Kluyveromyces lactis: one gene and its partners. The protein of the gene in region 2 interacts with the protein of the main gene of each other region in a pairwise test. Links are inferred from orthologs where the notes say so. Each region holds a gene or a part of one and is shown on either strand. Other genes may lie near its edges. The genes, in order: VPS52, VPS51, VPS54 and VPS53.

Region 1 (7,897 bases), on a different chromosome or scaffold from region 2:
CAAGCATGCAAAAAGGAAGAATAAGAAAGACACCCCTTCACATGATTTTCTCTGATAGTTGAGCAGAATTTGAGGGATTCTTGAACCTAGGTATAGCACGGCAGAAAGATATCCGAATGATTGAGCCAGCCAATTCATGTGAAGGTCCAATTCAGGGTTGCTTTGATGAGGATTCTTGATATAGGAAATGTACCATGAAAAGAAGCCAGCCAAGATAACGGATGAAACAATAATGATATTGAGCAATTGCTCCCTCAATTTCCCGTCTTCAGGTTTATCTGCATTTGGAGCAGTGGCTTCAGATGTTGTCGATGAAGTCTCCACATAAACACGACGTTCGTTGTGTTGGTGTCCGGTAAGCAAAGGCTGACGTTCATGAAAAACATCTTGTAAGACGTTTTCGTTGATTGGATTAGCTGGTGATAGATGTACAGGGTCAACAGGTCCATCTTGACCGTAAAACAAGCACTGAATCAAAAGAATTATATCAGCAGCAGTATAATATGCTGCCAAAATGATCATAGTGGGTAGTAAATGCTGAAGCATAGCGCCAAGTAAGTTGAAAATATCACCAGCAAGCCATAGCACCACAAACATAAGCGAAAGACCTTCTGCCGACTTCCTATAGAAGTTTTCATAAATCTGTGGAACGAAAACGATGATCCAACATGCAATAGAAATGGAACCTGTAATCCCAGAAACAGTCTGGGAGTTCAATACTATGGGAACTAGTTGCATTCTGTTTGTTAGGATTTTTTTGGATGTCAATGGTAGTTTCAATCAACAGGTACAGATGATGACAACCAGAACTCGTTTCAACTAGAACTTTTAGTAAATTTCTTCTCTTCTACTTCCTTTGATCATATACTAAAACTAATCAAATGAAATGAGAAACAATATATTTTACTATTTTTTTCTCTAAAGATGTTACCAGTAAAGAGAGTTTATATATCAGCAGTAACTTGAACTCTCAATACTCGCTTGTAAAATGAATTCGTTACTCAGTGCATGACGCAACTCGCAAAGTTTCCTGAGAACAGAAGACCATTCTTTGCTTGAAAACCTTTCTTTTCTATTGAGATGAGGGTACGTCCGGAAAAAAAAATGAAAATTCCATTGGAAGGAAAGATAGTCCAGTCAAATAGAAGTTAGTCATGCGTCGTGCGTGATGTTTTGTACTGTCCTCAAAGAAAAAATGAAGCCCTTGGGGAATTCTAGATCTGCAAATGGATATGTTTGTTGCCGTTTGCAGTCATTGGTAGGGTATGAGTGTGGTTAAAAACCGAAGACTGGTTTTATAGCTATGTAGTCTACTTGTCAGATGCCCATATGCAAGGTGTAATTAACGTACAATTATATAATAAAGGGCTGGCTCTATTCAGCAGAAGCAGTTTCAGAGTCTTCTTTTGTAGAGTCGACTTCGAGTTTCCTAGGTGGAAGCACGCTTTCGAATGCTTCCTTCCAGTCCTTGTTGTCGAAGTATCTCAACATTAGTTGGACCATATGGCTGGTAGTCAACACTTTCCTTCCAGCAAGATTGATAAATTCTCCGATAGGAAGCCTCTTGGTTGGGATGTTAAGTTCCTTTGCCTTGTTGTAGCATAGGTTCTTATGTCTGTTTTTATCTACTATACCACCTACGATATAAGTGGTCCCTGGTTCTAAAGTATCCAGTTTTTCTTCTGTATCAGCAGTCAGATAGACGGCATTCTCAGTGGGCAAGGTTGGATCTGCAGTAAATTCGAAATTTTTCCACTTGGTGTAGTTAGAGTTGCTCAAATCGTTATCGAATCGTTGTTTTAATCTCTTATCGAAAGATGTCACTTTAATCTTGGCGTAATTATTCTCTCTTTTGTTGCTAGAATAAGCTCTAGTGACTTGTGTAGATAAACTTACAATTTCGCGATCGTTCATTAAATCATCGAAGGAACAGTCAAGAATAATAGATATGCCGGAATCACTTTGATTCAAATTAACTTTTGGTGGACGCTTTAATTCTTCAGGGATTTCTTCGCCTCTATCAGTATATTCCTTGAGCTTTTCCCTACGTGCCAATTTGGCACGATTTCTCTTCTCTTTGCGGATTTGTGCATATTCTGCCCTCGTCTCTTCAAAACGCTTCTTCCTGCAGATCTTCTTCCATTGTGATTTTGATATGCCTTCCGGAGGAGGTGGAAATTGTGGTGCCCTAACTATCGGCTTAGGTTTATCTTTGACATCTGAGGTATCAGCTGGAATCTCAGCATTTGAATTTTCACTGGTATCAGACATTTGAGCTTGTCTTCAATTCTTTATTCTCGAAGGACCATCTGCGATGAGCTTCCATATCGTTGGAATCTTTGAAAGCTTTCTCTAAACATTCGTTTCTTCTTCTGCATTTTTCATGTTGATAAAGTTTGAAAGTCACGTGGGTTTTATGTCACTGGATAATCGCTTCCTGTTTCGCGATTAACACAACGATTCGAATTATATCAATCCCGAGAGCGTGACACCATATTAACGTGCCAAAATTGATACTAGTAAGTATGTCCAAGCGCCTGATTGTACTTCTTCTCTTCTTGTTTTTTTTTTGGTTTATCAACATGTATTTATATCTAAATCTTTGAAACTTTGAAATGTAGAGAGCATTTAATTCACAGAGCCAAATGAAAATAATGGTTCTGTCGAGGTTGAAAAGAAAATACATAACTCTGGGTCACTATCAATTGACCGATTAATAACTATAACAGGGGGTTCAGATCAGTTCTTAGAAGATTGATTTTGAAAGATGTCCTACGCTACCAAGTTGGAATTACCATGGGTTGAAAAATACAGACCGCATTTATTGAAAGATATTGTAGGGAATGAGGATACGGTGCAACGGCTACAAACCATCGCTGCTGATGGTAATATGCCTCACATGATTATCAGTGGCCTACCAGGTATTGGTAAAACAACTTCGATACACTGTTTGGCACATGAGCTATTAGGTGATGCGTATTCACAGGCTGTATTGGAGTTGAATGCGTCTGATGACAGAGGTATCGAAGTCGTCAGAAATCAGATAAAGCATTTTGCCCAAAAGAAGTGCACGCTACCAGCAGGTAAGCATAAGATTATCATTTTGGATGAGGCAGATTCAATGACCAGTGGTGCTCAGCAGGCTTTGAGAAGAACAATGGAGTTATACTCTAATACGACGAGATTTGCTTTTGCATGTAACCAATCTAATAAGATAATTGAACCTTTACAATCTCGTTGTGCAATACTACGTTACTCGAAACTAACTGATGAACAGGTTCTCAAAAGATTATTGGAAATTATAAAGCTGGAAGATGTTCAATACACGAATGATGGTCTCGAAGCTATTATCTTCACTGCCGAAGGTGACATGAGACAGGCAATAAACAATTTACAAAGTACAGTTGCTGGTTTCGGTTTAGTAAATGGGGAGAACGTTTTCCAAATTGTTGATTCCCCGCATCCACTAATAGTCAAGAGAATGCTATTATCTGGATCTCTCGATGAATCGCTGCAATATTTAAAAGAACTTTGGGTTAAAGGCTACTCTGCGGTAGATATAGTGATAACTTGTTTCAGAGTAATGAAAAATCTCGATGAAGTTAAGGAAACGGTTAGATTGGAGATGATCAAGGAAATCGGCTTTACACATATGAGAATTCTTGAAGGTGTCGGGACTCATCTTCAACTATCAGGTATGTTAGCTAAAATTCAAAAGCTTAAATCGTAAATAGACTATTACCACATAATTAACATCCAAAAAGTAATCATAATGATTGTAAATATTTAAATGACCCAAAGTTTTCAAGCTTGGGGACCTATAGAAAGCATATAATTAAACTACTCCCCCGTTCGCTCACCGTCAGCATTTCGTTTTCCTGATGTGTGTGTGTATTACAACTTTCAGAAAAAATACGAAAAGCCTGAAATATATCAAAAAGAACATCGACTACACCGCAAAGAATACAGTTGGAAAAGAAAGATACTTCAAATTGTATTACACTCTGTTCGTGACAGAAAACCATATATTGAAATTATAATGGATGTTTTAAGCGATCTGTTAGAATTAGATGCAACTGAACTTCAACTGCCAGAGGATTCTCCATCAGGTAAAGATGATAACATTGATACTTACCGAGCCTACGTTGACTCGACCCTAAAAAAAGAATATCAATTACATACTGAATTCCTCAAGGAATTTGATGATCTCATGGAAAAGAACCAATCAATACGTACCTCTACTGAGACACTTATACCGAGTTTGAAAAATTACTTTGCCGAATTTAACAACAAGTTGAACGATTTGACTAAAGATCTCGATTTCGTTAAGGGTAAATTTTCTGAGTTTTCATCGTTACTGAAGAGTAACTCTTCGAAGTTGAAAGACATAAGTCCCATCGTTAATGATTTGATAATCTCTCCTGAAATAATATATCAAGTGTTAAGAGGCAAGATTGATCAAAAATGGATTGATTGTATTGATTATTTGAACGATAAACAAGAGATATTCCTGAAGTATCAAGAAGAAAATAAATCAGAGAGACCAAATGATTTCGAACAGTTGAATGAAATCTTACAAATACTAAAGGCAGTTTCTGCAGAAAGAGCTAAAAAATATATTGTGATAAGAATTAAGAGACTGAGGGACGGACATCCTGTGCCAGCGCAAAGAATTCAAGAGGAACTACTTCAGGTCAGAGAAATCTATCAAATGATCTACAATACCAAGTCGGACATAGCTACAGAATTACGAGAAGCATATATTAATACGATGAAATGGTATTATAAGACATATTTTGCAAGATATATTAGATCTTTGACAATTTTACAGTACGTCCAGATAGATTCTCAATACGCATTAGGACAAGGTCTTTCAAATACATCGGTTTCAGGATCTTATTCTAATTATCTTTATGCCAGTGGAAGAACGCTCTTTGGCGCACAAACTGCTTCCCACTTTAATGTCACTGATGACAGCATTAACGACTATTTCCAAATATCAAAACGGTTGGATCTTATCACGCAAGAAGATAGGACAGTTATGGTATCGCAAATTGCAGAGAATAATCCAATTGCCAATTACATCGAAGTTGGATTTAAAAATTTAAACTTGGCATTATTAGATAATTGCACTGCAGAATTTATGTTTTTGAATGAATTCTTCAGATTACCAACTGATAAAGGTGATCTAATACGAACCATTCTTCTGGATATCTTCCAGCCAACTTTTGATAATGCTATGGACTTCACGCATCAATTAATTGATACATCATTCGATATATTTGGTGTCTTAATCAGCATTAGAGTTGCACATAGACTACAATTCGAAGCGCAACATCGTCAAATCCCGTGCATTGATGATTATCTTGATGGTCAGTTGATTCTTCTATGGCCAAAATTTCAGAAACTTGTGGATTTCCAGTGTGAACAATTAAGATCTGTTTCAATAACAACCAACGTTGCCCGTGTTAGAGGTGCTGGAACCGCTTCAGACCCGTTAGTAACGCCTCACGAACTCACGGTACAGTTTTCCAAATTTCTTCTCAGTTTATTGAAACTATCGTTAACCCACAAGGAACTTTTAGATGAAAGGGCAGAACCGTTGTTCCACTCGATAAATAGAATTCGTGATGATTTCGAAACAATAATGACAAAATGCAGCAAAAAGACTAAAAACGCTGATAATTTCCTAACCACAAATTATATGTATATCTACAACGCCCTTCAACAATCGTTCCTCAGAACAGATTCTGAAAAGGAACCACTCATCCTCTCACAAACGAAAACTCATCTTTCACAGCTACTAGAAGCATATAGTAAGTAAATATATATATATATATGTATACGAACAACCATTACAGTATCTCGTTACGAATAACACATTCAATCTTCGATTTATTTAGTTGTGCCGTTTCTCGTTTATTTTAAAAACGTCAATAAACATAAACAGTTTCTACTTTATTTTCGGTTCCATATATATGCTAATTTGAGATGACCGAAACAGAATAGCTATATGAACGTCGAGTGACGAGGAAATCCATTGGGCTGATCCACTCAACATAGAGTGTAGTCTGTGGTCAATCGTATGATGAAAAGGCCAACTGATTCGCAGAATGAAATTATCCAATTCCCTTATATACCTGCTAGCACTCTGAAAGTTATTGCAGGACCCGGTTCAGGTAAGACATATACATTGCTATGCAAAGTTCGAGAGTTGATCCAAACGGGGCAGGTGAAACCCCGTGAAATTATTATTCTATCTTTGACTAATAAAGCAGTTGATAATATTACAGATAATCTTCTAGGCGTCTTTCAGGAATTAAGCGATAAACCGTACACTGACCATGAAGTTGATGACATTGTTTCCCAAATTGGTATTTACACGATCCATGGCCTCTCGAACAGGATAGTTACTGAAAATATGGGTATTGTGAACATAATCGAGGAAAACGGTTGGAGAGGTCTAGTCAAGCTCATTCCAAAAGATTTTTGGAATAAGAGAAATGTTAATACTGCTAATGACCGGATCATTACGAAGAAGCTTCAGAAACTTATAAATGAATACCAAATTGACACAGATAATATTGATGAGACCATTGAAAAAGTAACAAAGTTAATGAAGCATTCAAATGTTTTGACTAACGATGATTTAATCAAAATGGCTGTGGAATTCTTAAAAGAGCCGAATTCAGAAGAGGATACTGCATTCACCAAATTTGTACTAAATGAAGCCAAAGTTTTAATTATTGACGAATTCCAAGACTTATATCCAGGTATATTTAAACTATTAAAGACATTACTTGGTCAAAAACACTTTTTAATATTTGGAGATATCAATCAAAGCATTTATGAGTTTTTGGGAAGTAACAAAGAAGTCATGTCTGAATTGGACAGGTTAAGACCTGATGATAAAAAATTCACTAAGTACATCCATGACAATTTCCGTAGTACACCAGAAATAACTGCTGCAGCCAATGCTGTTATAAACCAAACCGTTCCTGTTCAGATTAAAAGAGAAAATATAGTAGAAAAACATCCTTCCGGAGTTTACCCCATCAAATACAATTGCGAAGAATTAATAGATGAATTGGACTTCATTGTGAGTGAAATATGTCAGCTAGTTTGTTCTTCTGCAAAACTATCTGACATTGGCATTTTAGCAAGGACCAATTCTCATTCAAAGGCGATTGCTGACCACCTTTCAACATTCGGAATTCCCGTTTCAAAATTAACAACGCAGCCAGATTGGATGTCAGATCAGCGGATAAGATTCATGATTGATTTACTTCAAGTCGCTGTTTCGGTCATAGAAGAAGCTACACTGCCTAAAGACGCGTCTTTCACCATGAAAACTAAAAGTAATTTCAGTGTTATTGTTACTTTAGCAGCTTTAAAAGGATTTGGTAGTAACACCCTTCAGAAATTACATGAAAATGCCACAGCCACAGGTGCATCAATCTGGCATTTTCTAACAAATACACCTGTTTCAAAGTGGGGGTTTACTCCGGCAGTTACAAAAAAACTCGAAAACTACTTGCTAGCAGTATCAACATTAATCAACGATCCTCCTATTTTGGAAGTTGAACAGCCGCACATCTTAATAGATAACTGCTCATCTGTGATTTCAAAGTTAGATCTACCGTTATTCATGTGTGACAGTAACTCTGAATCAGGAAGTTTCCAAGTAAACTTGAAAGAATTCTATTCTGCTATAAAATTGTCGCTATTATCTAAACCGCAAGATCTTCCTACCGCGACTTGGTTTTTAGAAACTTTTCACGATCAAAGCATTATATACCATAACAATCAGAAAAGTATTACACAGGAACAGAATACTTTAGGCAGCGTTAACGTATCCACGATTCACTGTGCAAAGGGACTAGAATTTCCGATAGTT
Region 2 (6,604 bases):
GCGAAGAAAGACCAATCCTTTTATTAATGTCAAAGAAGTTAGTGCTTCCGGTTCTTCTAGGAACGCCGTGGTCAACAAATTTGGAGTTCCAAGACTGTGGATGGTCTGCAGTGATCAAAGATAGCAAGGTTGACTTACCAGCACCATTATTTCCTTGAATATGCCATTTGGAACCTTGTTTGACATCCCAGTAAATATCTTTTAATACTGGTTCGCCACTGTATGTAACCGACAGACCTTCTAGCGTGACTACTGATGGAATCTTCATCACATCATGATGTGGGCTTTTATAGTACTTATGTGGCGAAATCAAATCCTCAATAGTATACTTACTCTTAGGTTTGTTTAGCTGTAGTACTTCTAACAATTGCAACCTCATTGATTCAACTTGGTCTCTATACTGCTCCATGGGACCTTGGAACTCTATACCATCCTTGTCCACACACACCACGTGCGTACACCAGTCTGGTATTTGATCTTGATACCTCAACCCTATGATGACTGATGTACCTTTATCATATTTGGACAAGAATTTTGATATGATCGAACACGCAGATGGATCCAATCCCAAAAATGGATCGTCAATAATTGTTAAGTCAGGTTCCTTCAATAACGAGCGCGCAAGCCTAGTACGTCTCATTTGTCCATTACTCAACCCCATAGCCCACCTATCTTTGATGTCAATAAGTTTTAACTCTTTCAACAAATACGTTAATAGCTCTGGATCCACGTATCTGTTCGTAGTCTCAACCTCATAATTTACTGCACGAGATCCCATTGAATTATCAAGAATAAACTTCTCGCATGTCTGATCAAATTCGTCCTTGAAGAACTCATAACGGGCACTCAAATGGGCTGTAGGCATCACACCTTTAAATTTAACTTGTTCAATCCGTGGTAACCGACCCTTTACAACTTTCGCATAAGTAACTGCCGAAAAAGGATCACTTATGTACTTGTTAGACAAAATATCAATGAACTTCTCCTTTGATGGACCCCAAATACACCACTTCTCACCTTCATTGATCTCAAACCGGATCTTGTTCGGAAATACATATGGAGAACCTTTCCTTAAGGATGATTTGAAAAAGGCATCAGTGATCTTAACAACTTGCTTATTAAGTGTCATATCCGAAAGTGAGACGACTGTGGTTACAGTGAATGATTAACGGAAGAAATGCTGTAAAAGCTTGGTATGCTTTATATTTCCGTTGATGCAACTTTCTTTGTTATTGCGACAAACTCCATCAAGGAAAGATTTTTTATATGATAGAAAAACCTTAGACATGACTCATTTCAACAATGATTTAACGAAATGATTAGAGACGCAGGAATGGAGATTATAACGGTCTTGTTGCGTTATCAGAAAGGTTATGGAAACCGTGCTCTACTAGAAATTTTGAAGGATATTTGAATGATAAGACAGAAAGCCCGTGCTAAAGATAACATACAAGTTGAGGAGCAAGTGGTTTAGAAGTATTACTGTCAGTTCTGAATGATTTCTGAAAAAGCAGCGTATGCTTTGGCTACTCTTGGAACGGTATGTTGGTGTGTACAATTGATTCCACAAATTATTTACAACTATATCAGGAAAGACTGTACAGGGTTCCCCCCCTCAATGATGTTTCTTTGGGTGGTTTCTGGGGTACCGTTTGGAATCTACTTTCTAATAACAAGAGGTAATATAATTCTTCAGATCCAGCCGCATTTATTCATGTTTTTCTGCTCATTATCATGGGTTCAATCATTATATTATCCCCCTTACAGTCTCTCTGTGAAAAAGATCTTGCTTCGATGTATTTTACCCATGATATTATTCATTGTCAGCTTTGAGATAGGGTTTACTCTTTGGTTAAGACCGGTGTATGATCATGGTACTCATTGGCCAGCGCTAGTGATAGGAATCATTGCCACTATTTTGCTTGCAGCAGGATTGATCCCACCATATTTTGAGCTTGCGAAACGTCAGGGACGTGTCGTTGGCATAAATTTCATATTCTTGTTTGTTGACTCACTTGGTGCATGGTGTAGCATTGCCAGTGTTATTGTAGGGAACATGGATATCATGGGAATTGTATTGTATGCTGTCGTCGCAGCGTTAGAGCTCGGGATATTCGCTTCCCATTTCATATGGTGCTGCAGATTTAAATGGTTTGGCAATGGTACTGGTGAATTCGATGATGACGATGTCGGTAGCACAAGCAGTTCCGTAGGTATAGAAATAAACGGAATCGATGGCGACTCTGCTGAAGACGGGATCTTTGCAGGTCCTTATATTAATAACGAGCAGGATAAAGATGATATTGGTAGTAATAATACAAAATCTATGAAAGAACAAAGATCATGATAGTTGATAGGACGAGGATGATCTGGGAAATAAAGAATATACGACATGCAGCGCATACCGTCACTGTTTCAACATGGGTCGAGCCATATTGCACGTTTCTCGCAGTTGCTCCACTAAGGATTCATCCAACTGAGTCATCTCTTTTAGTATTTCATCCACTTTAATCAAATCGTAATAATTATCGTATATAGTATTCTTAATGGCATTGTCTGCTTCAGTTTCCTCTGCCAAGAGCAGATTTTGAACTTGCAATAACTGCTTCAAAGACTTCTTTGTTACATCTATATCACCCTTTTCCAGTTCTAACCGGATCTCTTGCTCTGTATCTTGAGGTGATTTGCAGTTTTCAATGGGTGTAGAAGCAACGACATTGCCAAGATTAGCGCTGGTCACGCCAGAATCAATGTCAGCACCTGATGCTGGTATCGACCCCGTTGTTACTCCAGGTAAAACTGACGGCGATGGCGACTTCGTATCAGCCTTATCCGATTCAGCAGTTGTTTCTCCAGGCTTATTATCCTTTTGTAGTCGATAATACTCTTTCAATAGCCTTCTCTTCTCATTATCTACCCGTTTCAACGATTTTTTATGCGTAATTTGTTCTGCCATGGTCCCAAGAAACACAAACTCTCTTGAATATTACTGAACAGGCTGTAGGCTTGGGGTCCTGTATCGTCTAGACATTCAATTACCCGTTAAGGCTACCTTCAAAATGGTTAGTCCAAAGGTAATTAATGTCAAGCTGAAATGTCTAAAGTATGATGAACGCACTCAAAAAAAAAAAAAGCAGGTCACATGACTACATCACGTGACCTTTATCTTTCCCGTTTCTTTAAAGGGTTTAGCTTCTAGACAGGTTCCATCAAACGTATTTATATACACATTTATGTACATCCCGCAACGTTTGCAGAGAAAATGTCAAACAGATCAACGAAACACCCTCAGATACAGGAGAAGCGATTGGATGACCAAATAGTGGATCTGATACTTAAATAACTCTTCTGTTTTTGGTCTGAGATTGTGAATTTTGGCGCAACAGACCGGGGATGAGGTTTAGATCCCGACATCAAGTGGATAAACCGAACGTTATAGTGACACAAAGCAATAGAAAGAATGAGGATCGATTGGGTGAAGATGCTTCCCTGAAAGCTGCTCAGGCAATGTTCAAGAAACATACTGTGAGCCAAGGGTTTGCAGTATCGGATGCACCAGGGACAAAACTATCTTTACCCAATTCAGGGCATGGTACGCCGGCACATAACGTCCAGGCTATGGCAAGGTCCTCTTCTTCATCCTCTGCAACTTCTACTCCGATAAACATTATTAGAAGAAGTCCGAGATCTAGTTTAAAGGGCAAACCGATGGGCGGATTATCTGTTTCCCCACGGACTGTCGAAGGTAATGCAGCGTTATCGCAGCAAGCTGCGGCTGTAGCATTGGAGAATGAAATTAGTGGTGATGAGTCTATTGTTTTGGTTCCAGCTGGAAACTCAAATGGGAGTATGACGCGGAGTAATAGCAGCATTAATGCAATTCGAATCGTTCCAGGTGGTGGGTTGTCATCTTCTCGTAGCTCATCGAAAGTGTCAATAGTCAAAAATTCACCGACTCATTCTCTGGCGCTTGCTGATAAATTAAACTCGATAACTTTGGAAAGCGTTTATGGAAAACCTAGTACTGCTACTGGGACTGCTACTAGGACGTTGGCCGGGCGTAAGGCGCCTCCAGCTGCTTTTATAGACCAGGATTCCGTTCTTTCGAATGATAAACATAGTGAAAATGAAGACACACCTATCAAGGGCACTATCTCTTATGACACTACGGCAAGAATGAATGTTCCTGTGACTTATGAGGGTACACTCCCAGATCTTATACCAGGTCATCAGAGACACAAAAAGAAGAAATGGCGTAACATTTTTGGATCAAGCGCTACGCATGGCAGCTCCGCTGGAGGTGCTATAGGGATAAATGGCACCTCTGCATCTGGAAATGATCAATATGAAAATCCAAGTGGTACTTTATCTGAGTTACAGTTGAATCGGGCAGAAGATAATCTTATTGTGAAAAGCGTCAATCCAACGCAAAAGACTAGGCTTCAAACCACATTGAGATCTAATGATTACGATAGAAATTCAGAATTGGCTGCTGTCGCTGGAGGATATTCTTCGGATGAATCTGCATTCTCATCTGACTCAGATCGGGAATTGCATTATGCTACAGATAATCATCACAATAACAGCATCAACAATCATTCCAGTGGCGTCTATTACGGCAACGTTGGTGGTAATGGTGTTTATAATGGGGGTACGGCTGGTGTAGGAAGAACAAAACACAGGGCAATGGTACGATCTCACAAGCGCAAATCTTTCAATGAGGACAAGCCGTGGAAGTCTCATGTGGATATTGGATACATCAGTGAAAGAGAACGGAAAAGATACGAGGGAATTTGGGTCACCAACAGAAACAGTTATTTGGAACTTCTACCATGGTGGAATCAGCCGCTACAGGATGAAGAGCAAGAACAGGAACAGGAACGAGAAATGGATCATGAATCACAACATGGACTAGAAGAAGAATTAGAAGAAGAACGGGAACAAGAATCGGGACAAGGCCAAGAACAGGATGCAGATATTCCGGAAGATGGATTGATGTTGAACCTTATTGTAATGGAAATTTGGTCCAGAAGTAACCTTTCGAATCAGTTGCTAGGTCAAATTTATGATAAAGTGGATACGAGACACGATGGTACCTTGAACCGACAATCTTTTCTCACGGGAATGTGGTTAGTGGATCAATGTCTCTATGGACGAAAGCTTCCGAAACAAATAGATCAACGGGTCTGGGACAGTGTCGACAAGTTTGTCATCAGTATTCCGAACAATAATCCGCATCATCGTCACAGAAGAAGGAAGAAAATGCTTAGGAAAGAATTGAAAACCATTAAGAAGGACCTTAAAACTTGAGCATCATCGATAAATACTCGGACGAAGTCATACAGCTAGATATATAGAGACATACTTTAGCATTGCAGTGTGCCGGCAATGTACAAATATCGGGCTCTATGTCTCTCTTTTCTTGCACGTGATTAGCACAAGAAAGCAGGAGGTACTAAAAAAAGGCTCAAATTAGATCCATTCACAAGAACCGTCTCATCAATGATCTGAGATTTAAGAGAAGAAATTAACCTGCCAAGGAAAGGACCACCATCTGCTAGAAGTCAGTACTAGCATCGGTAGTACATTGTGTGATACTGATGTTTCGTGTTTTCAATGCTTTAACAGGTGCTGGTTCGCCTAAGGCCACGGAGCTTTCTGGCGAGGAACGAACCAAGTTTATCCTACAGCAGGCGCATGATTTTGAGATAGCGTTGCAAGCTATGGATTATGTCCTTGATGACAACGCGGAGGTGGGATTGAAGTTGCTAGCTGATAATCAGGCTACCAGTCCTGGTGATGCAACGGTTGGAGCGCTTGCGAAAGGTGTTATTGAGTTCCTTGAAGCCACTTTAGGATTCGAACCAGAGGTAATGAAAAAGGCCTCCACGACCCTGGCAGAAGCTGAGCAACTTTCATTGAAAAGTAGGGCCAAGCTGCAAAAACTTAATATCAAGACGAGCTCTTTATACCCACCGGGTACAGAATATGCAGTTACATATACCGAGTCATGTTTGCTCCACGCGTTGTTAATGCTATTCAGTGAATCAATGGTGGAAGGAGCTAAGGCTTTGTTCAAGCTAAGAAAGGCGTACCACATGCTTCAAGATATACTTAAAGAGATTAATGCATCCGAAAAGAGAAAAAGAAGTAGCATTTACCTTCAAGAGATCAATGAATCAACTGCCAGTTTTATTTCTTCCGGCACTTGTTTCACATCGTATGATATCCCATATAAGCTCACTCCCGAGGAAGAGCAAGACAAAGAACTCCTAGATCTCGCCAACAAGGTATATTCCCTGAGAAGAAAACGGCTATGTGGGGCCCATATCGGTAACTCACCTGCTATTAATAGGCTTAGAGATGATGTCGGAGCCGCCTCATTAAAAAAGGGTAGCGATGAAGAAACGCAAGAGTTCCAACTGCTCAGCGATAACGCTAACATAAACCAGGCGACAATGGATGAATTTATCCACTCTGGTGTGAATTTATGTTTTGGTATCCTCCAAGTCGTGCTTTCATTGATTCCCCCAGCAATAGGTGCCGTTCTTTCTGTTGTTGGATTTCATGGCTCCAGAGAGGAAGGTTTAAGACTTGTTTGGAA
Region 3 (8,444 bases), on a different chromosome or scaffold from region 2:
TTAATGAAAATTCATGCTAGCGCTATAACAATCCATTAACCATTGAGCTAATGTGCTCGTTGATGAAGTTGGTTGGTTATGGAAGAGTGATAATTGTTTTATATTATCGCATACTAATACAGACTTATATATAAAAAATACTAACCTTTGTTAAATATAATAAAAATAAAACCAACTAAGTTTTATGATTCGCAGGTAAGTGAAAACGTGGTGACCTGCCCCTCATCCTATATTCTGAGAAAAATGAAGTTTGTTAGAGAAAATTACAATTGAATATTTTCTTGAAGGGAGGTACAAGGTATCATGAAATGTTACAAAAACCAAATGGAAAGAGTGGACATAATAAAATATGACAGCTCTTTAGTTGTTATTTTGTAGGTATTGATCAGGATCAATCCTTATCTTCATCATCACCGCTATGATGTTGACGTATTTCATCGTCAAGTGGCAATGAGGCTTCTGGATATCCAACGAGTTCTTTACAGATCACATTAATAGTTTTTCGTTTGTATTGGCGAACTGTAGTCCTGACTTTTTCGTATAATAATTTCAACTCAGTACCAGTCCATCTTCTACCAGGCATTAAGGTAGATAATTCTTCCCAATCCACTTGAGAATCCTCTGTGAAACCCATATCTCTTAATTTAGTTAGCAACCAGAATTTATCGTCATCTGAGATGTTTTTGATTTTATTCAAGGCTTCCTTTTTCAATAATTTGTTCCATTTATAACGACATTGAATACGGGATCTTGATCCTCCCATTTGTTCACTTACAACAGTCCAGTTTATAATATCTTTTGCGGCTGGCTTCTTTTTAGAGTTCGAAATAGAGGGTTTCTTATCAGAATCCTGAACATCCAGCATATCAGCATCTCCAGAATCCTCTATCTTAGTAGATGAATCTTTCATTTCATCATCTTCACCATCTTCGTACGCAGTGCTGGCGTTATCCAACATTTGATGAATAACATTTTTCAATTTTTCTTCTTCCTCCACAGACCATTTATTGGCGGCTCTATTTGGACCACACTTGACATAATTTCTCCAACGATCCCTACAATCTTCTGGCATTCTACCTAAAACCTTACCGATGTTTGACCACTGACCTTCCTTCTCTGCACACCATCTTGCTAATTCGGCATCTTCCTCAGGAGTCCACTTACCACGTTGTTCAAAAATGTGATACTTACGACGAACGTGTTTGTAAATCGAAGATCTTGTCCTGTAAGGCAACACCCTACAGATATTAGTCCAGAAGTCATCTTTCCTTCTTTCGTTGGACCAAATTCTTTCACAAATTTGACGTCTCGAGAGGCCTCTGATCTTTTGGTATTCTTTGATGAATTGTTCTAGAGCTTCTTCTTCAGACTCATCGAAAGATTTACCATTCGATTGGGTTGCCGGATTGATAATATGGGAAGCTTTGGCAGCAGCTTCTTGAATCAAATTTGATACATCATCTTGTTGATCGTCGTTATGAGATTCAGATGACAGCACTTTAGGCAACACTTCCGCAGTTTTCTTCAGCCTTACCTGTGAAGGGATGCTACCAGATACTGAGACGTCATCTACATGATCGTCTATGTTGGAAAGGTCACCATACGAACGCTCTTCGCTTTTTTCCTTCTTAGGTTCTTGATCGTCTTCCGTGTTCAAATATTGTTGGAAATCCGGGTGTTGAGAAGCGATGTTATCAGTGTCCATGATTGCCTTATGGACCAATTGGTGATGAGATTGCTCCTCCGAATCGTTCCCATCGACCAAATTATCATCTAACGATGCTAATTCAGGATCCACAGCAGCTAGATGTAGCTTATTTTTATTCTTCTTAGACTTCTTATTATTCTGACCTGAAGAACCACTACCCTTGCCACTAGACCCAGTACTACTTTGCTCGCTTGGACGGCCTCTTTTCTTCACAGAAAGAGCAGCTGCCACAGCAGCTGCAGCGACTGCACTTACATCGTTAGCATCACGATGTTTCGCATTATCCTCCTGGTCCTGGTCCCTGCCCGGATCCTGATCTTGGTCCTGGTCTTGGTCTTGTTCCTTCAAAAACCAATCTACGGACTTCTGCTTGTTCACAGCGTCGTCTTCCCCAGATTTCTCTAGGCCAACTCCAACGTACTTGAAAACAGCCTCCTCAACAGACTCATGGTTCGTATCGTTCTGCGACATGATCAATGAAAACAATTAAGCTTTAACAAGACCCGGTTACCTCGATTGAATCACAATGGAATATGGACACGAGCTGGATATAAATGCTCTGCTTAACCTAAAACAATGTGTTTAAGATGGGAATACCCAGACAATAAGACTGATTGATACCTTAGAAAAAAAGTGGCAATTACTAATAATACAGGTCAATAAAACTCTTCCGTAGTTTACTTGCCTCTCGCTCAACAGACCAGAAATGCCGCGCGTACTTGAACAGTGATTAATACTCTCACACGCCTTAAGGTACCAGTGTAAAACTATCACTTTGGTGTTTTGTCAGGGTAAACAAAACAAAACATTCTAATTCAAAAGTATCAGAATCTCTAACTTTTCAAAGCTTCGTTGGGTCAATGTTTTCATGATGTTCATTGGAAAACGTTGACCCTCGTTAGAAATTGCGATCATATTATACGGAAAGCAGGGTAACGATACATACACAGACGCATATAGTGAGTCCACACTATCACGTGATTCATATTGCTAATATATATGCATAAATATTCAGTACAACTGAGATATCACCTATTCTATCATGCGCAGTGAACTGTTTACCCGATGGGTAGTACTTGTCTTAAACAGGAGGCGGGATATTGTTTGTTTGGAACAATTTCTCACTGGACTGTTGTAATTGTTTCCAGATGTTTTCGTACTTATCTGTCTTAGATCCCAGCGTACGTTGGAAATACCCTTGTAGTAGTAGCGTTATTTCCGCTAGACAATCAAGTGATTCGGCCATGATATTCAAGTTTTTATCTGTCTTTGTAGATAGTCTGTCTGTCAGTGATGATGATATAGATTCTATTGCCTTTGTATTGAAGAATTTCAAGACATCGGACAATTGACGTTCGCAATGTCTTGCATACTGTGATGGGAAGTTTGAGGCGAGTACCAATAAAGTTTTGATCATTTTGATGGCAAGGATTAGAGCCTCGCTTGCCACGAATGTCTTATCACCTAAGACAACGGATTTTTTGTGACCGGTAGAGGATTGCTTCTCATCCTTTGTTTCGTCTAATGGAGAAGGTTTGTTCAACTCGATGAATCGTGTCCAATTTGACGGATCAATGTCAATACACGATACAATATCATTGACATCCTTTTGCAATTCGGGCTCGACGATGAATGGTGTCCATCTCTCTACATCGATCTTTTGTTTCAAAACCCTTATGTTCAAATTTTGTAAAGATTTCAAATATGTATCGATTTGGAGGTTCAATACGTCAGAAAGATACTTCGTTAGAAATTCACCGCTTATAGATTCACACTCTCTCATGAAAAGCATGCATATCTCGTAGAACTGAAGGAAATGATCGAAACGTAATGTACATGTGATATCCCGTCTCACTGAGATTATTTTCCCCATTCGAAGCTGTACTATCCTTATACCCTCGTTAACGCTTTTCCGAATATCAAGATCAATAATCATCTTATCAGATTGCTCTGCCGTTGTCGGTAATTCACTTAGCGAAATGTCTAATAGCATTTTCTGATGCCGCGTTAACCTCTTCAATAGTTCGATTTCAGAAGTGAATATATTTACAAGCATTGATTGGAACTCTTGAGATGATTGTTCTTGAATCAACTTTGATAGCCTTGACCCATTGGCGGCAGTTGGTTTAGAGCCATCTTTCGACTCTTCAGGTGTTTGTCTCTCATGCGGTAGATTAACCTTAATAACAGATTTCAACTCTGCTATAAATTTATCCTCGTATAGCTTCACTGCCGGAACCAACTGATCACAATCGATTAATTGTATTAGATTTTCTTTGATTTGCTTTCGGAAGGTCTCATCGATCTTTAAATGAGGTTTGTTCTTATCCTTCCTAGATTGCAATTTGATGATCGTGTCATTTTTCGATTGAGACTTCGAATACGTCCTCAAATCTTCCAATAGTACGGTAACCAGACTCAATGAGTAAGATCCCCCGATGTCAACCTTCAGATTATTTAGCATGTCTATTATGCCCTGTAAACTAGAAAAACTTGAGATGTTTGTGAGTTTGTACGGCCACTGAGAGGTCCAATCATTGACAGTGGGATCATCATTGTCACCATTTATTAAGTTCTCAACTGCTTTAACCAATTTCAAACACTCTTGTAGTTTTTCTTCTTGATATATTTCTTTACATTCTTCACATTTTTCTTTCGCTAGTTTTACTTGTAGGATCCCCTGTTGTAACTTTTCCACATTTTTCCTTCTTATGAGATCTTTAATCATCTCAATTCTTTTTGAGATTTTATCCCCATTTATCCTCTCAAGGGCCTCAGCAGCAGAATCCAACTCGTTGATTGTCTCTGTCGCATTTTCTCTAATCTTATCGACGTCTTCCAAAGCGTCAAAAAAGCTTTGTATAGACTTGGAGATTTCAGAAACAAGGAGTCCCTCAACAGTATCTAAGTAGAATGCCAATCTTCCTTGAAGCTCTTCATAGCTGTCATTTCTAACTTTATCATCATCATTTAGTAGTTGATTGGCATCAAACTCAAAATCTCGTAGAAGCATTCGAAAGAAATTGGGGTGATCTAATTTGAACTCCTTATCAAAATAGAATTCAGGTATTTCTTCAAATGCCTTGGCTTTCGTATTTTGCAATCCAAGGGCAGTTTTATCATGATCAATAGATCTCATTTGCTCCATTCGGTTCAACTTTGATATATTATTTGTCGATTGATACACCCTATATTCGTCTTTAATGTCATCTCTGTATTGATTAATATCCTTGTCCCATTTATCCTTAATATCGTTCTTGCTTAGAACTACAGGGGGAATATCCTCGGTGGTTGGGTGCCGCAACCATCTTTTAAATCTGGTGTTCATCACAATTTCATATATTGAATTATCAACCAACGGTGAATAATCAAGACCGTGTTTTTGGGTATGCATCGTTGTAGAAAAAGAATTGAATGTGGAATCAAAACTACTACGCCTCATAGACATACTGTCCCTTATTTGATCCCTGTTTCTAGATAATACAGATAGATCATCGTTCAACGAGCTAGCATCATCTGAGGCATGACTGGGCACCAATAGTGGAGATCGACTTAATTGCGTCCTACTATCAGGAGTTAGAGATAGAGCTGGTGTCTCACTTCCCAGTAACCTATCCGGCATAGTTAACTCGCTGGTTTATAGTCTGTTGGAACAGCTTTTTCTTTGCTATGCATCTTAAAGGTGTATGTATCTGTTTACAATATGAACTTTAATCGATTTTCAGTTTTTACATATTCAATGATACTTCTAAAAGAAAGTGAACATGGTAGTTTGAGTATATAATTAAGCGCACTCTCTCAACATAAATAAAACACCGTAGCAAGTTAATCAATAGAAGCATTAAGCGCTGAGCGAGAGATCTACGCAGATGGATAAAACCAAGAAAAATTGTTGTTCTTCTAATTAATACTATTTACGTAGTGAAAAAAAAATATATATGCTGGTAGAGTGGTATTTTTAAGTTTAACCTCAATAAAAAAAATGAACTCCGAATATACCTAAGAGCACTTGAGCGATCACTCAGAATCAGAATCAGATCCAAATAAAAAGCTACCCGATGAAGGAGATTTTAATGGTGGTCTTCTTACCGTCGAATTGTGTTGAGATAAAGGTTCTCCAGTGATGAAGCTATGTGTCTGTTTTAAAACAGGAGATGCAGAATTGGAAGGTGTGATAAAATCATGAATGGAATTTGCTCTAGACTTCCCTATAGATGAGGTTCGCCTTAATGATAGTGGGTCTTTTGCAGTAAGCTCTAGTTCTTCACCGTTATCGTCATGCTCTTCGTCATCATGACTGAAACCAGGTTGGGAAGAATCTGCGATGAATTCGTTGTCCGGATGTTCATCGTTATCATCTTGTACCGGAAGGCTTTGATGGTATGTATATATTTTCCCTCTTGAGTCATCATCCATATATCCGTCATTCGCGTCCTGTATTGGAGTATCTAATCCAATGCCATCCGGTACATCGAGGATATCACACGAATTGTCCACAGTTACAAAGTTGGATGTATCCCCCGTGTAAACGGAATTATAATCATACATGTAGTCAAATCCTCTGCTAGTATTCACATTGTGTGATACTGCGTTACCATAATACCATTCATTTTCGTCTTCATCATAATATTCATCGTCAGATCCGTAGTTTAGAGTAGTGGCTGGAAGTGGTTTAATAGTTGCGTTTGGAAATTTGGATAGTGAGAGTGATCTTAAAGAATTTGCAACATCTGTGCCATCACTAGCCCCCGAATTGGTTCGATTTTTTCTAGTATGTGCACTGATAAATAACCCATCATCTTCGTCATCTTCGTCGTCATCTTCATCATAATCGTAGCTGTCAGCGTCTTCATCATCTTCGTCATCGGCGTAATCTTCGACGCTGTTGGCCCCTGAATTTCTATATCCATCGTCAAAGTCAGAATACTGATGCGAAGATCTGGCACCGTCCGACATATCGTCAGAGTGGTAATCGGTATTTGTCATTGGGACTTCGTCATCATTAGGATTAGCGTCTATGGGGTTATGATTAACCGCAATACATTGTTCGACACGGTCATTGAAATGAATATGTCTTTCCCTTTTTTGCTTTTGCTTCATCGATGATGTAAGAATCGATGATAATATGGGAGGATCAGATCTTGCGGATGGGGTTTCTATCACAGAGCCAGAGATTGGACCTGGAGTGGTATTTACTATCGACGAGTTTGTTTCGGTCACAACGGGCGAAATAGATTCCACCGATTCATCAGGCGGTGTATGGATATTTTTGTAATATTGTGCATTCACCTTCGCGGCAATAGCATCATAATCGTCATGCGTTGTCTGACTTGACTGCGGATCCAAAATAGCATGCAAGTCACTAGTTTGCTTTCTGTGCTGCCTTGCTATATCTAATCTCCATTTGGAGTTTTCCTCGATAATTTCACTAACAGTTCTCTTCTTTAGAATAGGTTTAGGACCGGGACTCTGAGACTTTTGGATCAACCTTTTTGAATTTTCATCATCGGAACCATACCCCATGGTGGCCGCATGATTGTTTCCTATTTCAACGTTGGAAGTGGGCTTTGATGACGACGTCGAGTTATTTTGATCGCCCACTACAATCGGACCGTATAACCAAGTTACATCAGAATCCTTTGACCAGTTCAAAGATTCTGGATTCACAGTTTTCAGATTATTTCTAGCCTTTGACCAAGTTCTCCAGGAAGCATTTTCCAACCTTGCAGCATTGATTAAATCTGTGTCCTTCCGTTTCTTTTTCAAAATGATATAACGCCATGACTGAGATATTTCGTTTTCGTTCCATTTATGAGATAAGTAATCCACATGTCTATTGGGTTCATACATCAAGTCGTTGTCATCATGATGAATTAGGAAATCGTCAGTACCCGGGTCTGGAGGAGAATTAGAATCTTCTACATCTTTGTAGTCGTAGTCGTAATCGTAATCTGCTTCGTAGTCATCGTCGTAGTTATCGACTTGCATGTTTTCGTCTGTGTAGTCTTCGTCGGTTCCGCCAACAGTTGTATTGTGTTTATTCAGCCCGGTGTCATTAAGCGTAGTATCATTACCGTCGTTATCGTCATTATAAGAAGTATTATTACTGTTTTTATTGATATTATCAGTTTTGTTTTCGTTGTCGTTGTTGTTGTTGTTGTTGTTGTTGTTGTTGTTGTTGTTGTTGTTGTTAATATTATTCATGCTCCCGCTACTGTCACCACTATTGAGGTCGTTACTCAAGCCATCGATGTTACTGTTAGAGAAGTTATCGGAATCAACAGAGCTCGAACCTGCCAGAAGTTTCTGAGTATCGTCGATGTATGGATCCAACAGTCCCATGGATCGTGTTCTTTTCAAATTGAACGTAGAATTCTTGAAATGGTCGTCGTCATCAGCATGAACCGCCATAGACACAGAAGGACCCATATCGTCGTAATTTGGGACTTGTTTATTTACACTGCTTGTTCCGTATTCATCATTCGATGAGCTTCTGTTCAATGCGACTCTACCCGGGGTAGCATTCCCCTGAGAAGCATTCCCCTGAGCAAAATACGCCGCTAAATTATTCTGCATAATGCAAAGCGTGCTGTGTTTATCTGGTAAAACCTTCTGAATATTATACTCTGCTGTCTTGTTCAACCGCGTGTGTATCACGCAGTAAAAAAGCTAGGTTGAATTATATCAAGTAAGCTCTGCTTGGATGGTAGAAGGTGATTCCTGCGATCCAAAAAAA
Region 4 (8,437 bases), about 610 kb from region 2:
GGGGCAAGTAGTTTTATAATTTCACGTCTATAATTCCAGATGGTGTTGAATTCTGGATTGATATTAAGTAACTGGGTAGTCTTCAGAAGAGAGTCCTTGTTTGCTACTCTTTTATTCTTCAATTCTAAAACCTCATCTGATAATTCTCGATAATCGAGGATTTCCTGTCTCTCCTTCTCGCGCTTCTTCCTTAATAACTCCTTTGTCCACTCTCTTCGTGTAACACCATGCTGAATTCATTTCAATTTGTAAATGTTAGTAATCTGCAATTGTATATTATGAGAATCTTCTTTGAAAAGAGTGCCGAGGTCTGCCATACCATTATTTGTCCTCGAGTCTCTGTGGAATTGAGTTTAACGTTCTGATTTGCTGTTCATCATAATCATAACTTATAAGTTTGAATGTTAATTATAAAAAATAGTAGTTTAAAATGAGCTCAATAACATATGTTTTTTGAACTTGCTTCGACGAACAAGGATTCAGAAGAGACTGGAAAGTAAAATTGGAAACATGGATTTGATATCATTAAAAGGTTCGACACGAATTGTTACTGAGTTCTTTGAATATAGTATAAATTCAATATTATATCAACGAGCAGTATACCCGGCAGAAGACTTCGCTACAGTTAAGAAGTATGATTTGAGCTTATTAAAAACACAAGATACAGAACTTAAACAATACATACGGGAAATTCTCCGGCAGGTTCATAGGTGGTTATTGGGAGGTAAATGTCACCAGCTTGTTCTGTGTATAGTAGATAAGGATGATGGTGAAACAATTGAAAGATGGAAGTTTAACGTAGATTCTCACAGCAACAAGAACGATACTGATGATGATATGAACATTCCATTAGAGGAAACCCAAAAGGAGATTCGGGCAGTACTTAGACAGATAACAGCCAGTGTCACTTTCTTGCCCGAATTGAAAAATGAAGGTAACTATACTTTCAATGTTTTGGCCTATACTGATAGTAATGCGAATGTTCCACTAGAATGGACAGATTCTGATTCAAAAGAAATAGCGAAGGGGGAATCTGTGCAATTCAAGTCTTTCGGTACATCGGCCTATTCAGTGGGAGCTGAAGTCACTTATAAGTTCTAACAAAATTAATGGCTGAACTTATTGCATTTCCTTTTAATACTTATGCTACAAATAGGAACAAGATATAGTAGAAAAGGCACATAATACTTAATTCAACTCGAGAAAGCTCATACTAATTCAATCATCTTGGTGTCTTTTCCAAACTTCTATCCAAATCTTGAGATGTTCAATTAGCTTTTGTCTTAAGAGTCCTTCGCATTCTTCCTGCATAAATGGGAAAAGGTTGGACAATAAGCACGTTTTGAACAACTTTAATTTTGACACGGCTGCCATATCAACCCTCAACTCTTCTTTAACTCTAAGAAGAGCAGTAAAATCGAGTTTAATGTTGTCTGACTCTGCTGCTATTTGGATTATATCCTGAATTATTGCTATTTCATTTGCTAGATTTACGGTGTATCCATTATCCAATTTGACTGAGAGATATGTCAGCCTATCATAAAGCGGTTCGGCCACAAACTCAGGTATATCAAGTTCTTTTACTATTTGAAACTCTTTGCGCTCTTCAGCTAATTCATCAAAAATATCGTAAACTTGTTTTGGGTCAAACGTATCATTCAAATCGGTTCTGATCAATTCCACAGGAAACATCAGAGCAAAATGTGATTCACCAACAACATCTATAAACATATCAATTTCCTTAAACTCAGCATCTGTAAGCGTGCTTTCAGCTATAGTGAAAAAAATCATTATGTAGAAGAATGGAATCATTGCATGAGGATACCAGGTCTGATTTCAAAATAAAGTCGATAGCCGAACCAACTTGTGCGGCACATTTTGTCATATAATCAGATATATTGTAAGTGCTCAGGTTAACTGATATATCTTAATATTCATAAGTAAATAATATCTTCGAGTTTTCTGTGTCATTTTGACTTGACGCATTGACATGCCTCGAAAATGTTAAAAAAAGCCTATTTAAACTGATAAATCTGCTACAGAGGTAAAGGTAGTATTACAAGTAGTGTTGCTGTTTCGTTGGTCAAACTGCGTGTGGAAGCTTCTCTACAGAAGCAGTTAGCCCTTCTTGAAAAAAAAACTGGAGTTTGACATAAGGTTTTTTATCTCATTCAATTTATGTCCAGGAATCTTAGGGGATGGAGACCCAGTGGGTGGACTAGGGGAGGACTGTATAGCTACGGATAAATCAGGACGTGGAACAGGTTTAATCTTGAGGTCTTCCTCCAAAAATGTTTTCCATGATGGATCTGATACCCTCGATAGATTGTAAATAAAGTTTTGTAGTTCTCTAGGGTTGAAAATAAGGTCATCTGGTTTCATCGGTTGAGTATCATCATCTGATTGTTGAAATTCTGACCATACTCTTTTCCAAAGTGCCAAATCCCAAGGTACACCTTTTAGCGCTAGTATAAATGCCCAGAAATTTGAGTTTGTATTCTGACTTGCGGTTATTGCATAATAGGTTTCCAAGTATGTTGTATCAGGGTCAATAGGAGAGACAAGTAACTTTAAAAGATGCATTAGTTTTTCCACATTACTATCTATGTGTTTCGTGACTCTTTTAGCTGATGTGTCATGTTGCGGTAAACTTTCCGGAAGTGAATGCAACGTTGTCTTCAATAGTTGAACGTCTAACAATAATTGTTCTGCGATATTTATCACTTGCTTCACATCGAACTGTCTTTTCGAATTAAGAGTGCCATATGGTAAAGCTGGTTTCAAGAGCTTTATAATTTGAGATTCAAAAGAGATAGCTATTAAATCAATAGTTTTATCAATAAAATTCCAACCATAAAGATCTCTATTGAATTGAGAAACAGTGGAGTAAAATGTTGAATTTTCCGATCTTGTTGGTAGGAGGATACTCTGTAAGGTAGTCACATATCTGCTGTAATCTTCCACCATTGTATTAGCCCAATTTGTGTTTGTGAACTCCCTCCATACAAATTCCAAATCTTTCTTCAGGATGCGATTTAGTAGTAAATTGATACCACCCGATACGAGATCCATGTATTTTTGCCTTGTAGGTTCAAAAATGGCTGCAACTTTGTTGATATTTGGCTCATCATTCTCAAGATATTCACAGAGTTTATCTTGCAATTGATCAATTGTATTTGCGCAATAGTCTGCTGTATTGACAAGAAGAACGGTATATTTCACTACTTCATTCTTATCATCGATTTGTGTATCCTCAGGTAACAACAATGGTTTCAAAATCTTTTCATAATATTCATTCAACCATTTGACGAAGAAAACCGCCAATTCCACCATTATGGTCGATTTATTACCGCCTTCTATCAAGCTGAAAGTTTGAGAAAGAATGTGTCTATAAGTTCTAAACAAGTCTGCACTGGATGGAACGACAAGCGATTCATTTTTAGCTGGGAGCTTGGTCTCATTAAGATATGTCAACATCTTGGCGTTCAAAGATGAATCTTGGTGTCTAACCCATAATTTCAAATATGGCTCAAAGCAAGTGGATATTTTACCCTCGTATATATGGGAAAACTTCACTGATATGTATTTTTCAAACTCTAAGGTAGTTTGTAACGATTGCATGAATAGGTCAATGGAGGTGGTACCGGACAAATCTCTCTTCAATAATGTTTTCAAATCGTTAGACGTCATTGTGAAGAAAGAATCCGTTAGTTTCAAAGGTATCTCCCATTCTGATGGGAAATATTCGCTGAAAGTAGACTGGAAATTATTTAATACTTTTTTGAAGAAGATGTAACGTCTAGACAAATTCTCCAAAGAACCAGCTTCATCATCAATTTGGAAGATTTCTTTAATTTCATACAATAGAGAATCCAAACACAATTGCACAATCCTTTCTTTATAATGCTTATTAGTGTCCGCAAGGCAACATATACCGTCTTTCATCGTTTTGCTGTCATATTTACTGTTAGACCCATCCCTAAGCACTTCTTTCGTTACTCTCTCACACACCAATAGTGTATCACTCTCTAAACGATGAATTTGATTTAGAAACTTACAAAACTCATCCAAAGATTTATATTCGTGGAAAGATACAGATAAGGAATGCATAACTTTAAAGGGGCCGCACATTTCAATGTATTTTTCAGCTTGCATGTACTTTTTAGAGTTCACGTATGCATCACTCAAGATCTTCAAATTTTCAAAGCACGTCATCGATCTCGTTATATTCCTCTTAGCGTTATCCAAATCTGAAATATCATGTGTCAAGTCGGATATGGTTGCTTCAGTAATCTGTGACAGAGACTTCGTTGAATTTATCTTCTCAAACAACTTGTGGAAATCATAATTGTCTTCTAAACTATTGACTTCTGAACTGGTGTTATTGCTTTCTCGTACCCGCTCCTCTAAATTAAATTTACATTTTTCGGTTAATAGCACTAGGTTATCAATATCTGATAAAGATTCCTGCTTCGAGAATATCTGTTGAAGATCGTGTAAGGGATCGTATTCCAAAGATTCTGAAATCATTACTTGTTAAGTTCTAGTTATTCAATTCAAATTAATGTGCGTGATACTAATACAGGAAACAATAATGGGGAGGAGCTGGATAGAGAAGGGAGAATTATACCTCTGCAACTTACAATTGCTGGCTCTTTTTGTCATTTACTGATGATACAACAAAGGTTCTTGTTATATTTGTTTCTGTATGCAATAATTACTATGAAAGTCTGATATCAGAAATATCGAAAAAAAATACAAAGTCTTTAAAAGGTGAATTGACAGTTCCAAACCCTTTAACTATGAAAAAAATAATGCTCCAGGGGAGGTTCGAACTCTCGACCTTCAGATTATGAGACTGACGCTCTTCCGACTGAGCTACTGAAGCAATTCCTTTGAGTAGCTTCATTGACACTGTACATATACCAGAACGATGTAATCTTCGCACTGCATAATATATTATTGCTCAACGAGTTACAGTGTGTAGCCAACGATGCTGCTCTTACAAACATATGTTTTGCATATGGCAGAACAACAGAGTAAGTGCCTTCCTGAGCTATATATTGAAATGGTTTGATTTGCCAGGATCAGCGAAGTTTTAAGATACATAACTCTATTCTGCTATGATTATTCCTAGGATGTTGACGTGGATGCATCCATCACCCAGCTACATACCTATTCTTTAGAGTAAGATGATAGTACTTTCAGATCTCCAGAAACACACATGTACACATGCCTTATTCAGACACTTTGTCCCTAGTAACTATTGGCTAAAGCATTCCCATATTTTCTGCATATCTCTCAATACTGAAAAAAAAAAATGCTAAAGTATCTTTTAACAACATAGTTGAAATATAGAAAACAGTGCGTGAACAAAGGTGGCGAAGACGAAACTTGTACGTGGAAAAGCTATACCTTGGAAGGAAAGCAGATAATTCACAAATCCTTGAAAAGCAGCATGTCTTTGAAACTTCCTCAAAATCCTAATGCGGGATTGTTCAAGCAAGGGTACAATTCGTACTCTAATGCTGATGGTCAAATCAATAAATCGATCGCTGCCATTAGAGAGATTCACCAGATGTGTTTAACTTCTATGGGGCCATGCGGCAGAAACAAGATCATCATTAATCATTTGGGAAAGCACATTGTGACCAACGATGCTGCTACCATGCTAAGGGAATTAGAGATTGTCCATCCTGCTGTTAAAGTGTTGGTGATGGCATCTGAACAACAAAAAATTGATATGGGTGATGGTACTAACCTTGTTATGGTGTTGGCTGGTGAGCTTTTGAATGTTAGTGAAAAGCTTATTGCGCTAGGTCTTTCACCTGTAGAAATTATTCAAGGTTACACAATGGCAAAGAATTTTACTTTGGCAGAACTTGACAAGATGTCTGTGTTGGATATCAAGAACAAACATGAAAAAAGTGAGTTAATCAAGGTCATCAAGCCAGTCATTGCATCCAAGCAATATGGTTCTGAAGATATTTTAAGTTCCTTAGTATCAGACGCTGTGGCACATGTCTTGCTACCAAATTCCAACTATTTCAATGTCGACTCAATTAGAGTGGTAAAGATTATGGGTGGTTCCCTTACCAACTCATCTGTTATCAAGGGTTTAGTCTTCAACCGCGAACCAGAAGGACATTTGAAGTCCTTGCCTCAAGGTGAAAAGCATAAGGTTGCTGTGTTTACATGTCCAATTGATATCTCAAACACCGAAACCAAGGGTACTGTGCTTTTACATAATGCTCAGGAGATGTTAGATTTCACTAAAGGTGAAGAACAACAACTGGACCAAATGATGAAAGAAATTGCCGAGACTGGTGTTAGATGTGTTGTTGCTGGTGCCGGTGTTGGTGAGCTTGCTTTACATTATTTGAACAGATACAATATTCTCGTCCTAAAGGTGCCAAGTAAATTCGAACTTAGAAGAATTTGCCGTGTGTGTGGTGCTACACCAATGCCAAGGCTAGGTGCCCCAACTCCAGAAGAAATTGGTATTGTTGAGACCGTAAAGACGAAAGAAATTGGTGGTGATAGAGTTACCATTTTCAAACAAGAGGAGAACGAAAACACTAGGACTGCCACAATCATCTTAAGAGGTGCTACGCAAAATAACTTGGACGATATCGAACGTGCCATTGATGACGGTGTCAATGCAATTAAGGGTTTAATGAAACAGGATGGTGGAAAACTTGTTCCAGGTGCCGGTGCTACTGAAATAGAGTTGGTATCAAGAATCAGCAACTATGGTGAAAAGACGCCAGGTCTAATGCAACTTGCCATCAAACAGTTTGCCGTTGCATTCGAAGTGGTACCAAGAACGTTGGCAGAAACTGCAGGTCTAAACGTTAATGAAGTACTACCAAACTTATATGCTGCCCACTCTCAAAAAACTGCGTCAAACGAAATCAACGATGGTTTGTACCAAGGTATTGATATAGACAACAATACCCCGGAATGCATCAAAGATATCAGAGATGAAGGCATTTATGATTTACTAGCTGCTAAGAAGTTCGCTATCGATGTCGCCACAGAGGCTGCGAAGACAGTACTTTCAGTTGACCAGATCATCATGGCCAAGAGAGCTGGTGGTCCAGCCGTACCAAAGGGTCCAAAACCAGGTAACTGGGACCAAGATGATTGATTCGAACATCTGTCCTCTTGGAAGCGCATAATTGTTCTCTCTTCTGTACACTAATTCCCCTACCACAAATAAAAAATTCAGATATAATTTTAATACTCACAGCTATACCTGTAACTGTCTTGAAAACGGTATCAATACCGCATATCATTATATATTTCATTCTTATGGTTGCTCTTAGACATCCTCTAAATCACGTGATATTAATTATATATCTTACCATCCTTTCCATATATGTGTCAATGTAAAATTAAATTATTTTTCACACAGTTCTGATTCCATTTTTCCAAAATTACTGTTCCTTTTCACAGAAATATCGATGACAACTTTTAAGGACAAAAACCAAAACTTTTCAACGATTTGAAGCTACGTTAGCGATTAGCGAAAGAAAAATATACGATGCGGGTCTGGACCCGAGAAAGAATAGGAGAACCAGAAATTAACAAGTATATCGATTGAGGAACAAAGTGCTTATCCGGGCGTATTGCTTAGATATAAGACAAAGCTAAAAGAGTCGGTACTGATTTTTTTGACCTGATCCTTAATTTTTTTTATTATAATAATAATAATAATAATAGTCGATTATTACAGTTGGGACTCAACTGAATATAAATCGTATTCCTTCTGTGGGTAGTCAGTATCTATCCCGTTATTAGATCAGTACTTTCAATAAGCTGATTTGATTTGGCAATTCATCAAGTTATGGTGGAAGAAATTGATCTGCCGCCAGATATTCGTTGGCAACTAATGGATGAAAGTAAAATGCACAAACCTGCTAATCCCAGACGAAAAAGCAGTATTTTTGGCTCGATGCATCGAGAAGAGTTCCCCATGTCCAATACTTCGTCAACAGACTCTCTAGATTTGTTGTTGGAGAAACAAAGGCAACGACAGTTGAATCATCCTTTGCATCAAAATCATATCAGAACAGTATTGGGCTCACATCTGAATAGTGGGCAACGAATAACGTATGGTCCAGTGAAAGAGACAAACACTGTTTCACTAGAGTATGATCCAATATCTAAACGAAAAGTTCTAAACACTTATGAAATCATTGAAGAATTAGGCCATGGGCAACATGGGAAAGTGAAATTAGCTCGAGATTTGGTTACAAAACAACTAGTTGCTATAAAAATTGTCAACAGACATAAAAAGCGTACTTTCAATGATAAATTCTCTAATAGATTCAAAACTCCTCAATCTGGCATTGAGGATGAAAAGATCAAGCGAGAAATTGCGATAATGAAAAAGTGTCACCACGAGCATGTGGTGAAACTAATTGAAGTTCTT

The links.
Region 1: the proteins of VPS51 (region 2) and VPS52 interact in binary tests that used the Saccharomyces cerevisiae proteins (3 or more experiments, as listed by UniProt). The link is inferred for Kluyveromyces lactis from reciprocal best matches to the Saccharomyces cerevisiae genes VPS51 and VPS52.
Region 3: the proteins of VPS51 (region 2) and VPS54 interact in binary tests that used the Saccharomyces cerevisiae proteins (3 or more experiments, as listed by UniProt). The link is inferred for Kluyveromyces lactis from reciprocal best matches to the Saccharomyces cerevisiae genes VPS51 and VPS54.
Region 4: the proteins of VPS51 (region 2) and VPS53 interact in binary tests that used the Saccharomyces cerevisiae proteins (3 or more experiments, as listed by UniProt). The link is inferred for Kluyveromyces lactis from reciprocal best matches to the Saccharomyces cerevisiae genes VPS51 and VPS53.

Annotation. Positions count from the first base shown.
Region 1 is NC_006039.1:335,478-343,374, reverse strand, and holds VPS52 (Vps52p), read left to right. Parts: upstream 1-4,039; coding exon 4,040-5,824; downstream 5,825-7,897. Other genes in the region: YPQ1 (cationic amino acid transporter), read right to left, coding at 1-738; TRM10 (tRNA (guanine(9)-N(1))-methyltransferase), read right to left, coding at 1,375-2,271; RFC4 (replication factor C subunit 4), read left to right, coding at 2,768-3,730; HMI1 (ATP-dependent 3'-5' DNA helicase), read left to right, coding at 6,086-7,897. UniProt on the Saccharomyces cerevisiae protein: Involved in retrograde transport from early and late endosomes to late Golgi by linking the vesicle through the t-SNARE TGL1 to the Golgi, leading to the membrane fusion between late Golgi and endosomal vesicles.
Region 2 is NC_006040.1:184,957-191,560, forward strand, and holds VPS51 (Vps51p), read right to left. Parts: upstream 2,957-6,604; coding exon 2,408-2,956; downstream 1-2,407. Other genes in the region: KLLA0_D02156g (uncharacterized protein), read right to left, coding at 1-1,129; ILT1 (Ilt1p), read left to right, coding at 1,496-2,347; KLLA0_D02222g (uncharacterized protein), read left to right, coding at 3,394-5,310; KLLA0_D02244g (TTC39/IML2 family protein), read left to right, coding at 5,601-6,604.
Region 3 is NC_006042.1:413,000-421,443, reverse strand, and holds VPS54 (Vps54p), read right to left. Parts: upstream 5,331-8,444; coding exon 2,790-5,330; downstream 1-2,789. Other genes in the region: KLLA0_F04389g (DNA-binding protein REB1), read right to left, coding at 392-2,179; RPI1 (protein phosphatase regulator REG1), read right to left, coding at 5,726-8,284. UniProt on the Saccharomyces cerevisiae protein: Involved in retrograde transport from early and late endosomes to late Golgi by linking the vesicle through the t-SNARE TGL1 to the Golgi, leading to the membrane fusion between late Golgi and endosomal vesicles.
Region 4 is NC_006040.1:791,118-799,554, reverse strand, and holds VPS53 (Vps53p), read right to left. Parts: upstream 4,531-8,437; coding exon 2,119-4,530; downstream 1-2,118. Other genes in the region: Rab geranylgeranyltransferase BET4, read right to left, coding at 1-230, 320-322; spindle checkpoint protein MAD2, read left to right, coding at 511-1,101; KLLA0_D09416g (uncharacterized protein), read right to left, coding at 1,219-1,812; chaperonin-containing T-complex subunit CCT8, read left to right, coding at 5,459-7,150; KLLA0_D09328g (serine/threonine-protein kinase), read left to right, coding at 7,850-8,437. UniProt on the Saccharomyces cerevisiae protein: Involved in retrograde transport from early and late endosomes to late Golgi by linking the vesicle through the t-SNARE TGL1 to the Golgi, leading to the membrane fusion between late Golgi and endosomal vesicles.